Linked DNA regions of Arabidopsis thaliana. The main gene of each other region encodes a partner of the protein of the gene in region 2 in a complex. Each region holds a gene or a part of one and is shown on either strand. Other genes may lie near its edges. A codon is read from its position in the direction of its gene.

The links.
Region 1: the proteins of LSF1 (region 2) and BAM1 are in contact, whole or in part, in a cryo-EM structure (PDB 8J5D), measured with the Arabidopsis thaliana proteins. Residues at the interface, in NP_566139.1 of Arabidopsis thaliana: Met72 (codon at 3,695), Asn73 (codon at 3,692), Leu74 (codon at 3,689), Glu76 (codon at 3,683), Tyr77 (codon at 3,680), Met78 (codon at 3,677), Val79 (codon at 3,674), Arg112 (codon at 3,488), Ile113 (codon at 3,485), Met115 (codon at 3,479), Lys122 (codon at 3,458), Leu131 (codon at 3,431), Arg157 (codon at 3,191), Phe266 (codon at 2,864), Pro267 (codon at 2,861), Glu270 (codon at 2,852), Tyr271 (codon at 2,849), Ala274 (codon at 2,840), Leu275 (codon at 2,837), Arg277 (codon at 2,831), Ser278 (codon at 2,828), Gly280 (codon at 2,822); in NP_189034.1 of Arabidopsis thaliana: Glu208 (codon at 3,609), Asp212 (codon at 3,621), Thr235 (codon at 3,690), Leu236 (codon at 3,693), Pro237 (codon at 3,696), Val238 (codon at 3,699), Lys240 (codon at 3,705), Gly241 (codon at 3,708), Arg242 (codon at 3,711), Thr243 (codon at 3,714), Gln246 (codon at 3,723), Asp250 (codon at 3,735), Arg253 (codon at 3,744), Tyr306 (codon at 4,116), Ser309 (codon at 4,125), Ser310 (codon at 4,128), Lys312 (codon at 4,134), Ala313 (codon at 4,137), Glu316 (codon at 4,146), Thr317 (codon at 4,149), Tyr318 (codon at 4,152), Trp362 (codon at 4,284), Gln365 (codon at 4,293), Met366 (codon at 4,296), Asp369 (codon at 4,305).

The regions. Positions count from the first base shown.
Region 1 is NC_003074.8:8,639,272-8,645,236, forward strand, and holds BAM1 (beta-amylase 1), read left to right. Parts: upstream 1-1,909; 5' UTR 1,910-2,450; coding exon 2,451-3,043; intron 3,044-3,580; coding exon 3,581-3,791; intron 3,792-3,914; coding exon 3,915-4,025; intron 4,026-4,115; coding exon 4,116-4,928; 3' UTR 4,929-5,178; downstream 5,179-5,965. Other genes in the region: AT3G23910 (reverse transcriptase-like protein), read right to left, coding at 24-73. UniProt on the Arabidopsis thaliana protein: Beta-amylase activity. Can use p-nitrophenyl maltopentaoside (PNPG5) as substrate only in reduced form. Can play a minor role in the starch degradation and maltose metabolism in chloroplasts during the night. More active on phosphorylated glucan.
Region 2 is NC_003074.8:197,775-203,791, forward strand, and holds LSF1 (uncharacterized protein), read right to left. Parts: upstream 3,969-6,017; 5' UTR 3,909-3,968; coding exon 3,594-3,908; intron 3,538-3,593; exon of another isoform or gene 3,507-3,537; coding exon 3,400-3,506; intron 3,254-3,399; exon of another isoform or gene 3,238-3,253; coding exon 2,778-3,237; intron 2,678-2,777; coding exon 2,609-2,677; intron 2,514-2,608; coding exon 2,392-2,513; intron 2,301-2,391; coding exon 2,085-2,300; intron 1,981-2,084; coding exon 1,875-1,980; intron 1,763-1,874; coding exon 1,650-1,762; intron 1,475-1,649; coding exon 1,330-1,474; intron 1,204-1,329; coding exon 1,081-1,203; 3' UTR 548-1,080; downstream 1-547. Other genes in the region: CA1 (carbonic anhydrase 1), read right to left, coding at 1-99; AT3G01513 (uncharacterized protein), read right to left, coding at 4,294-4,944. UniProt on the Arabidopsis thaliana protein: Starch granule-associated phosphoglucan phosphatase involved in the control of starch accumulation. Participates in the regulation of the initial steps of starch degradation at the granule surface.

The DNA.
Region 1 (5,965 bases), 8.4 Mb from region 2:
GAGACGAAAGAGAAGTAGAAAACCTGCGAATCTCTTGGAGATCGAGAGATCCGTCGTGGGTTTCTTCTTCCATTGAAGAAAGCTTTAGTCTTGGGGATTCATTTTGGCGCTACTGTTAGAGAACTGAAGAGAGTGTAGTTGTGAAGTTGAAAGCAGAGAAGACGATTTCAATTTTCAAATGGGAAAGGTGAAAGAGAAACGGAAGAGAAACATAACTCTCCCCGAGGTTTATACTTTTCTTCAACATTAACCCCTGAATTCTATTTGAATCAATTTGACCCAGAGGGTTGAAGTTAATTGCAATTCCGGTTCAATTTATTATGACCAATCGTAACGTATTGAACCAGAAGACTCTTTAATTTTAATCTGTAACGTTTACTTCCCCTTTTAAAAAAAAAGAAAAAAAAAACTTAATTAAATTTAATCAAAATCATAATTATATATCAGTGAGTATGTTCCCTCAGCTCCCAAATTCGACCCTCTAGTAGCCACATCTGCTTTATTTTATTTTATCTTTCAGTAAATCTGCCCCCATTAAAATGTCCAATAAAAAATCTTCCTTACTTCAGGGTAGAGATTTTGATATTTACATATAGTTATTCTTATTGTACCGATTGTATCGAATATTTATATACTTGGATATATCTTTGTACATCAAATGGAGTCAATAATAATATCAAGAACGGTGAAGAAACTGCCAGCTAGAGGGATGAGATTGATTGATGCAGTTATCAAAGTGGATTGCAACAACTCTTTCATGTGAATGTGATCTTAATATCATGTCACACAAATACATAATCTGTTTCTACTAATTGCGTTTTGTGTAAAAGATTAATAATACTTCACATCTTAATTACTCTTTAAACGAATCATTGATCTTTCATGAAAGGAAAAGAAGGTTCTAGTCTTTGTCAGAAATCCATAATCCAATCTTGTAAAAGGCAAACAGTTTTTGTCCTAAAAGATTTGACGAGCAACGAATCGGTTCATTCCCAGCCGTTGGATTGATTTAAATACTCAGGAAAAGTCATCCCAAAAAGGTGGGAACTTGCCACTCCACATCACCATGGCACGTGGTAAGCTTACAGAGGAAAACTTCAATATTGGTTTACTTTCTCCACCACTCAACATTTTGTTTGTTCGTGCATGTTGTTTTGTGTCCGTGTATTATCTATTAATCTATGTTAGACATTTTTTTCTTCTTTTTTCGTCAAGGATATTCCTTTTTATGTTTAAAGTATTGTGTACATATATAAAAAAATATTGCATATTAGATTATTGACTTGAATCGAAGGATTTTTAAAAAAAAAAAAACTGTTTGTAGAGAAGAAAAATCGAAAACTACTTGTATTCATCAGAATTAAAAAAAAAAAGTCAGTCTAAAAATATACCCTAATAAACTGACATACCTATTTCAACGATACAATTCTATAATGAGTTATTAAATTGATTTGATTTCGTATTCTCTAAAATATACTCATAGACATAGCAGAAACTAGTTAATTTGCTTATATGTTCATATTCTTGTACATCATGTGATCTCACGTGGAATAAAAATAATGTGACCATCTCTAATTCTCTACTTCACTTAGTATCTAAGTATCCACTGTGATACCTTGTTTTCTGCTCAAAGTTGTACATGCGTAGATTAATAAATACATTTCACCCCTTCAATTGATCCCAAAAGCCTCTACAAGACAGCCAAAACAAATCAAGGATTGCGCAAAGCATTCAAGTTTCGAAACAATAATTTTTTTAATGGTTGACAAAAAGCAATAATTTGTAAAGCGATTCATAGGTCAGCTTCTAAATGTTCTCGAAATAACTCGAACCAACACCTAAACCATTTGTTCTAACGATAATAGACGAACGTATTAGAGACTCGTTAGGAAAACACTACTTGTATATATTCACTTTTACATACATATTTGTTTCCTTCATATATTTATTTATTTACATAACAAACCAATATGAAAAACGTACGTTTCATGAAAGAGAACGTTGTAGAACACTATCACCGTTTGCTTGTAAGAAAAAGGCTTATCTCACCTATAAACTCGTGAGTCATATTTATACTCTTAACAATAATAAATAAAATAAAACTCTATTTTGGTAACCACAAAAAATATTCTGAGGCTAAAAGCGCGTCTGCTGGAAAGTTCACGCGCTCTGCTAACCCCACCGTCCATTCTGACTCTTTTAGATCTTAACCGTGTCTTTATCCACATCATACGTTTATACACGTGTCACACGATCACCTATTCTATAAAAAACATTATTTTAATCTTATCCTTTTTATGCTTCCCCTATAAATTATCTTCTCTTCCTCCTTCTCCGATCTCTCCTCCGTCACACAAAACTTCCGATTTCAAAAAAACAATTTGAAATTTGTCAAAAGGAATATTCTGACGATCGATTCTTGATTCGTTTTCTCGCGTATAGAGAGAAAAATGGCGCTTAATTTATCGCATCAGCTAGGAGTACTCGCCGGAACTCCGATCAAATCCGGTGAAATGACAGATTCATCGTTGTTATCAATTTCACCACCATCGGCGAGAATGATGACACCTAAAGCAATGAATCGAAACTACAAGGCTCACGGAACAGATCCATCACCGCCGATGAGTCCAATTTTAGGTGCGACACGTGCGGATCTGTCGGTGGCGTGTAAAGCTTTCGCGGTGGAGAATGGAATCGGGACCATTGAAGAACAGAGAACGTATAGAGAAGGAGGGATTGGTGGAAAGAAAGAAGGAGGAGGAGGTGTTCCTGTGTTTGTGATGATGCCGCTTGATAGTGTTACCATGGGGAACACGGTGAATCGAAGAAAGGCGATGAAAGCGAGTTTGCAAGCGTTGAAGAGTGCTGGTGTTGAAGGGATTATGATTGATGTGTGGTGGGGTTTGGTTGAGAAGGAATCTCCTGGAACTTATAATTGGGGAGGTTATAATGAATTGCTTGAGCTGGCTAAGAAGCTTGGTCTTAAGGTTCAAGCTGTTATGTCGTTTCATCAGTGTGGTGGCAACGTTGGTGACTCTGTCACGTACGTGATTCTTCTCTCTTGCTCAATCACTTATTAATTCGTGTATCATTTTTAAGGCTACTTGAGATTGGAAAGATTAGAAGTAGGATTTGAGATTATGACCAATTTTGGAACTGAATGATTGAAGTTTGAGTAGGCAGGATTGTTCATTTTTTTAATTGATTGATGGAGTAACGTGTACGGGAATTGATGATACAATATTCAAGAAGAAAGTGATAGGTTTAAGAGTGTACGAGTTACATCTATTTCTTTGTTGCGTGAGAGTCTTAAATTTAATATTGAGCGACTTGTTGTTCGTCTTTTTCTCTGTTGTTTTCTCCTTACGAAACTCTTAACTTTGAGGCCTTTATGTCTCTTTCAAGATTGATTACAAAAGATGGATTCTGTATAAAGACGTTTCTTTTAGATTGACTAATGAGTTATTTGTTTGTTTTGAATATAGAGTTACTTCATATAGGAGTGAAGATGTCATTGTCTTATCATTCACTAATGAGATTTTGTATGTTCTAATATGGAATTTTTTTTATTTTTTTCCAGTATTCCTCTGCCTCAGTGGGTTGTTGAAGAGGTTGACAAGGATCCAGACCTTGCATACACTGATCAGTGGGGAAGAAGGAACCATGAGTATATATCACTTGGCGCTGATACACTCCCTGTTCTCAAAGGTAGAACACCTGTGCAATGCTATGCGGATTTCATGCGTGCTTTTAGAGACAACTTCAAGCATCTTCTTGGAGAGACCATTGTGGTATGTTTTAGCTTCTCTTATCCATTTCGTGTTTCATTTTAGAACATGCCTCTTTAACTCTCTCAATTTCTCTACTATGTTTGGTTGGAAGTCTGAGTTTGCCTTGAATTCATTTTTTAACAGGAAATCCAAGTGGGAATGGGACCTGCAGGAGAGCTGCGTTACCCTTCGTACCCCGAGCAAGAAGGGACATGGAAGTTCCCAGGGATTGGAGCCTTCCAGTGCTATGATAAGGTATTTACCACAAATCACACATGAATAGTCTCTGATTCATCTTGCAACGAATGTCATACTAAACTGTTTTCCTTGCTATGATTGATGCAGTACTCGTTAAGCAGCTTGAAAGCAGCAGCTGAGACTTATGGGAAGCCAGAGTGGGGCAGTACTGGCCCAACCGATGCTGGTCACTACAATAACTGGCCAGAAGACACCCAGTTCTTCAAAAAAGAAGGTGGTGGTTGGAACTCAGAGTATGGAGATTTCTTCCTCTCATGGTACTCCCAGATGCTGTTGGATCACGGCGAGCGGATCCTATCCTCAGCCAAATCAATATTCGAAAACATGGGTGTCAAAATATCGGTCAAAATCGCTGGAATCCACTGGCACTACGGGACCCGCTCTCACGCGCCTGAGCTCACAGCAGGGTACTACAACACAAGGTTCAGAGACGGGTACCTCCCGATCGCCCAAATGTTAGCCAGACACAATGCCATATTCAACTTCACATGTATCGAGATGAGGGATCACGAACAGCCTCAAGACGCACTTTGTGCACCAGAGAAGCTAGTTAACCAAGTTGCTCTAGCCACTCTAGCCGCAGAAGTTCCTCTAGCTGGTGAAAACGCATTGCCTAGGTACGACGACTATGCACACGAGCAGATTCTCAAGGCCTCCGCGCTGAACCTTGATCAAAACAATGAGGGAGAACCTCGAGAGATGTGTGCATTTACTTACCTAAGGATGAATCCGGAGTTGTTTCAGGCGGATAACTGGGGAAAATTCGTAGCGTTTGTGAAGAAAATGGGTGAAGGGAGAGACTCACATAGATGTCGGGAAGAAGTTGAGCGTGAGGCTGAGCATTTTGTGCACGTTACTCAGCCGCTGGTTCAAGAAGCTGCAGTGGCTCTCACTCACTAGAGAGATAGATTGTGGCATGGTTCTATGGTTTATGTTTGTATGCGATTATAATGAAATGGTTATATGACAATGCCAAAAAAGATGTTTAGGCTTGTTGGAGCTTGTGTATGTATTGTTAGTAAAACTGAAATGTATGCCACAGCTCTGGTTTTTTTCCGGTCAGGTTGTGGCATGCTACTACTTTTAATATATGCTAAAAGATGTACATGTTCTTTAATGAAGCCAAAATAAATAGCATTTCTTTAATACATATCACTCTGAATCAATAAAATGATAGATAAATTATGTGTGTGATTGGTTTGTCTGTAACTGTAGATTTTTTACTGTAAAATTTTTGCTGTATGTGTGATGGTGGTAGCTGTAGATTTTATTGCTGTAGAAATTAGGCTGTAGGTTTTATTAATTTAATATTATTATTTGAAGAAATTGGTTGTAGAAATAAGATTATGGTTGTATGTATTTTTAAACAAAATAATATTATTGGTAAATTGTACTTATGTGTTATATAATAGAATTCACAAATATCAATTTAATATATATATATATATATATACATTTTTGCAGTCATTTTGTGAAATAAATCATGAAGTTGGAATTTATTTATAATGGTTGCCATTGGCTTTTAATTATTGTTTTTTTTTTGGCAATAAATTGATTAACAAACGAAAAACATTCCAAATATATTTCAATCCCATATATCATGCAGATTTCTCCAAAATTTGAACTAGATTTTGACAACTATTTAAAACAAAAAATGTTTGACAAACCAAAATACAATTGCAATTCCTTAAAATGAGCAAAACGCACCTAAATACATTTTTTACAATTCACTAAATCTTATTTCTCCAAAATTTGAACTAGATTTCGGCAACTATTTTAAAAAAAATTTGTTTGACAAACTAAAATACAATTGCAATCCCGTAAAATATTTATTTAAATTATATATTTAAATTAGCGGTGTAATGCAGGTTTTTTTACGGGACGGGTTTGGCAAGACGAATTTGGAATGACTTTACTTAATAACAATTGTAAACTAT
Region 2 (6,017 bases):
AGCGACGGTGGAAGAAGTACGAAGAGAGAGTTTCTGGAGAGAAGATTGAGAAGGAGAAAGTGAAGTGAGAAAGAAGCCGGAGAGAGGAGCGGTCGACATTTGTTGGCGAAGAGAAGCGGAGATCAGAGAGAGTGAGATATGTGTATTTATAGTTAGAACTAAGACTCTTATGGAAGCTACTATATACTTAAGTGAATAATGGGATTGGTTGAAAGATTTGGGAGTTTAAAAGAACGGAGTCTCATGGTCATGGTGAGGTTGTGGGAACGAGGATAACGAAAGCGATAGCTGCGGTGAATAACAAACTTTCTTCTTTTCTTGTGGATGAGGAATATTAGCTCAAGATTTCAAAACTTTTACGTGCTCTTTTCTTCTTTCAATTCTTTTTTTTATAAAAAAATAAAAGGTCTCAGAAAGGTTTAGAGGATAAGGTCCCTTATCATGAAAACAAGGATCAGCCTCTTTCACTTACCCTCTCAGGCTCTCATCTTAAATAATCACCACCCACTTTAGATGTTAGGCCATTTGTTTGTGGTATACATATAGAAAGATCCATACTTCTCTAGGCTCTCTCTAGACCAGAGATTGCTATTGTATACACAATCTAGAAGATGCAAAGGATTAACATCGATCATGGACTGTTCTACTCTACGAAACAACAGACTCAGTGAAAACTCTTAGCATGAAAATGAAGAGGAAATAAAAAAAATAGAGAAGAAGGGTCTCTCCTCTCAGACCTTCCATGGCCATAAATCATCATATAGGCAACATTAGATAACAGAGTTTCTATTTTCTTCAACATGTTAGGAGAGAGCGAGAGAGAGAGAGAAAATGAAGAAGAAATACAGAGACCAGTAACGCATTAGGGTTGGTTTTGGGACTTATATGTAAAGTGGGCAACGGCGAAACTATGTCGACATTTTTTCATGCAAACACACAACATAATGTCAACATTCTCTTGTCATAGAGTGCGCGAATGTGGCAATGTTGTTCACAACGATATTAGGGTTAAGTACCTCGAGGAATGGATAGAGACAGAAGAATGGATGTAACATTTTAACTTATGCCAAAACAAAACTTCTACGACTTTGGGCATAGTCTTATTGGACAAACTGAGAATGCGATACACCGAGCTGCTTTCGCCAGCCTAAATCTTTCGCTCTCTGTTAACACTCTCTCGATCACCTTTATGATATTTGCATCCTGCAAAACATTGTACAAGTTGCTTCAGGTTTATGTCTTGAACCAATCAGGCAAATATAACGTGGAACATCTTATTCAAGCTTTTCCTATTGTATGAAGAAGAGACTACTGCATAGTAGGAGTAACCTTTCTTGGTTGTTGAATTGTAGGCCTGACGTTAGCAACATCACCAACTACAATTATATTGTTCGTGTTTCCTCGGTCATCTCTTTCCGTTGGTGAAGTTGCTGAATGCCTCCAATCACCGTTGATTATGTACTTGTAGTAGTATCTGCCACATTGTCAATAATCACCAAGTTATATGACACAAATGCATTTTCATAAGTTTCTTTGCAGTTTGCAATCCCTCAAAAGTCACAATTAACATGCAGGGAAGATTATGAGACGTTTTACTGTTGAACCTTAAAAAAAGCATCAACGGGAAAGGTAAAAGAAGCATGACTTACTTTCCCTGTGTAAGTCTAACTTCAGTTTCAAAACGTGGACCGCCTTTGTGCGTTGCTTTTATCGGTTCTTTCCAATTTCCTGTGAAATCCCCAACCAACAATACCTCCTCCCCCTGTAAACCAAGGTGTAACTTAAAACACAGAGGCTAGTTGCTCAACCCTACAGATCACGAGTTCCATAAAGAATTGCAGCAAAGTAATAAAAGCATGTGAAGCAACAGTCACCTCATGTCCATTCCACACAAAGGTTACAGAGTGTGTTGGAGTCCCATCATGTTTGCCATCGTCCACCATAGCGATAAGATCCCATGTTGCCCAAGCAATTGCAGGTCTGTGAAAAAATACATATAACTTGTCTGATGTTTTCATTAAAACAGAAAAGCTATCCATGGTCTGCAGGTTAATGGTCAAGACAGAGATAAGATGGATAAAAACCTGTCAGGTTTGCAAGCGTGCAATCCAGTAACGAAACTATAAGCAGCATGAAGAGAGGTATCAGTCATCCAGTGCAGATAAGCAATCACACAAGCGGATGACCGGTCAAAACCAGTGGTACAAGTTACAAAGACACGATGGTTCTTTTTCAGTAACCGTAGTAAGAGCCCAACACAAAGTGGTAGCTTCTTCCTAAGATCAAAGGAATCTGCATCCCTGGCACCAAAATATCAAAACTGATTAGAGCGGTAGGAAATGAAAGCATGAACGCACATAATGTGCCTCAAGGCGATATGACTTTGCATACTTTATAGGGTAGTTGATCATTAAGACTTCAGATTTCTGGCATGCATCATTGATACTTTGTGAATCGATCCCCCAGTTTTGAGCTTCAGTTCCACCTTGGAAATTTAGTATGGCAGTAATTCCCTGTAGAAAGAAAAGTATGGCCAGTTAAAACCATACTTTCAATTCTATCATTTGCATACCATAGGTAGGTAATATAAGTCATATAAAAGACTCACAGCTTCCGACAAGTTTTCCACATCCTCTTCTGTTTGTATGCAAGAGCCAACATATATTTGCTCTGTAATCTGAAAAAAGGCAACAAGAGAAGAATGGTGTTTGAGAGATTGAAGAGACAGAGAGAATCATGAAACAAGAGTAATCGGGAAAAAGAGACAAATTTCAGACCTTACTGTAGCGCATTCCAAGAGCATGGTTATAAGAAAGCTCTCCTTTAGAACGGTCAAGGGCTTTGATGTATTCCTCTAAAGGGAAATTCCCATAACCCCATTCCCCATCTCCAGGAACATCTTCTGAAAAGACAGAGACCAGTGGACTGATAGGTGGAGAAAGAATGTTCTTCTTAGTCCCTGACTGAAAGGAATTGCTCTGTCTATTCAAAAGTTTCCATCCCTGAGGAGTAAAGAATTTGGAGGAAAACGCAGCATAGCCAGAGTTACCACTGCCTTGTGATGATGCTCTGAGATTCGATGATAAGAGGTTTTTGTTCCAAGTAACAAAAGACACACGCCCTCTGTTATAGAGCAAATCAAGGTCGCTCAAATGAAGCAGATACTGAATGGGAAAGGGAGAGAATGGTCTTTCAAGAACAAGGCTAAAGGATCCAGTTTTCTCTACCAGCATCTTCCTGAATAAATCAAAAACTGGAAGAAATAAAAAAGAAAATTTCAAAAACACTGATATGCAAAGTGTTTCCATGCTAAATCTTCCCATGTTAACTAGTCACCAGCAATGTTTAGTTAACAACATTAACAAGTTATATAGAAGCCTAGTACTGTACAATTCTTACTTGGTATCACCAAAATCCTTGATTTCCACAAGAGTACCACCAGAAGAATCACTAGCCTTCTTGAGTGTATCTCCTACCATGATGATTCTCGCCTTCTCCGCATTGCTCTACAAACAAACAAAAAAGTTAATAACTTTTCAAAACTCCTGAGATTACTACTACTTCCACATGACATTCTAAGGATCGGAGAATACCCCTTTTTTGATGGCGTGGACGAAGATCTTGCCATCTGCTGAAAGTGCGAAGCGAATCCCGAGGGGCTTCTCGAGAGTGACCATATACTCATTCAAATTCATTTTGAACGGAGTAGAAGAAGACGACATCGCAACAACTCTAAGAACGACTCTTCTTCGTCTGTTGAATCCGAACTTTTCCCTCGAACCCAAGTACGCAATTCCTCTTCCGTCGAATACACGGCCATTACCGCTCCGGAATGAAGATCCGATCATAATTGACGGACAAGATCGTTCGAGAGCTCCTAAACCGGAGATTTGTTGAAGAAACGCCATTAAACCGATCCAATAGAGATTTTTCCGAGAATGTGTGTGTATGGAAGAAGTTGGAACTGTGAGCAGAAAACGAGGCGGCAGAGGAAGGTAAGAAAGAAATTAGTGGTCCACGTGTCTTCACGTAGGTCCCGCTTTCTCGTGGAAGTATCTAATTTCCTTTTTATCAACACATGACACGTGTCTTTTCCTCTCAGTGAGAAAAAAAAAATGGAAAAAAAAAATATCAAACGTTCCTTTGAGTCAACGCATTGAATTGGACTTCAATACACGAAACAAAAGTTACATGGAAATATTTATAAATACAATATTTAAACAAGTACCTAATTGCTATTATAGTAATTTTTTGTCCAGTTGTGTAAAACTATACAAATTAATTGAGCTTCAATTAACGACGTAACCCTCTAATCACGGCGAAAACTCCGATCAAATCTTGCCGGTAAGGCAAATAAGATTTTCTTCTCTTGTCACCTTCCCCGACCTTATACGACACCGTTTTGTTCTTAACTTTCACGGTCGGCGAGCTCCTCTTACTGGTGTCGCCGCCGCCGTCGCTGTGGCTCCTCCGCTTAAGATCCTTAAAAGTATAGCACCGTTTTGATGCACTTGAGGGCAAAACACCACCGTCGCTATGACTTCTCGTTAGAAATTTCTTCAAACGGCACCGTTTCGGTGTGCTAGTAGATGATTCTGAGTGTTTCGAAGCAGCCGGAGATCTGAGTGGACTCCACAGACAATTTCCGGGGAAACGCTCCGATATTTTTTCAGCGGCGGCTTCTTTGTCTGTCTTGTTAGTAGTGGAAACGACGTTGGTTTTGAACGTCGGGAAGTGGACGAAGGTTTCTTCATGTAACGGCGACGTTTCAAACTCGAAGTCAACGTCTTCGTCATTGACGGAGTTGACTTTAACGGACTCATGATCTCTGATATTGTAGCTTTCGTTTTCGCGGGAAACTTTAACTGCAGCGGCGGCGAATTCACCGGAAGCGTAGTAACTGAAGCTTGGGCTATACGACACCGTTGAAGAAAAATCCTGCATTGTTTTTTACGTCTTGTTTACGATTCGCGTCCCTGTAAACTTGCTGTGTCTATGTGTCTGTATATATAATGTCATTACATGTAACATGTGGGAGTGGTTTAGTTAGCTTGTTCGTCAATACTAGGCGATAAAACGTGGTCGCTTTCGAGGTATTTGTTTATGAGAATATTGAAATTATAAACGTCAATGCTGACGATGAGGGGGTAACCTAAAGTATGATTTTATTCTTATCAACCAACCAAATATGTTAGACGTGAAATCAGATTTGGCATAATCATTTTACGATTTCTGTAATTCTTTAAAGAATTGTGTGAACTCGTGATTTATTCTATTATAATAAAACCTATTCATCATATTCTGTGACTTTGCAAATACAAGAAATGTTTTTTTGCTGAATAATTTCCAAGTTTAACAGTTACAAACAAATGATTAGTCAAAATAACTAAAATAAATTAGTTATCATATGTTTCACTTTCACTAGGAGTCCAATAGTTGTTATCCTCTAAGATTAAACAAAATAAGCATAATTTAATCAAACGCAACTTTTAGCGAATTTATAAATGACTTTTCCGAACCTTGCTATAACAACTTTGCAATAAACATATTGTCTTTTGAACCCGTCGGCACTAAAATCTCCCTGACAAATGACTCAAGGCCAAATTAACATTCTTATTTGATAAAATTAGGCATAGAAACAAGCATGATTAAATAATTGTACCACATGCCAATATCCATTTCCCAACGAATAGCAACATTGAAGTCCATATTGGCATGTTCTGCCATATAAATTAAACATTGCTGTTGGAATTGTAATCTGTCATATTCTTCGAAGAATAATCCAAAGATTGCTTCTTTTAATTATCACTAAATATTATATAAAGATCGATCTCCATGTTACATTTCTCAATTTCATGTGGAGCAATGAGTTGGCAGCTTAACCATAGTCATTTTTTAATAGAGTCTAATTAATGTTTTCAGTTCGAGTTTGAACATACTATTTGTAGCCTAATCAAGCCCAAATTTGCCCAAATTCAGGGCCGGCCTTCTCCGGAGCTAATTCTTCGCAGTTTCGG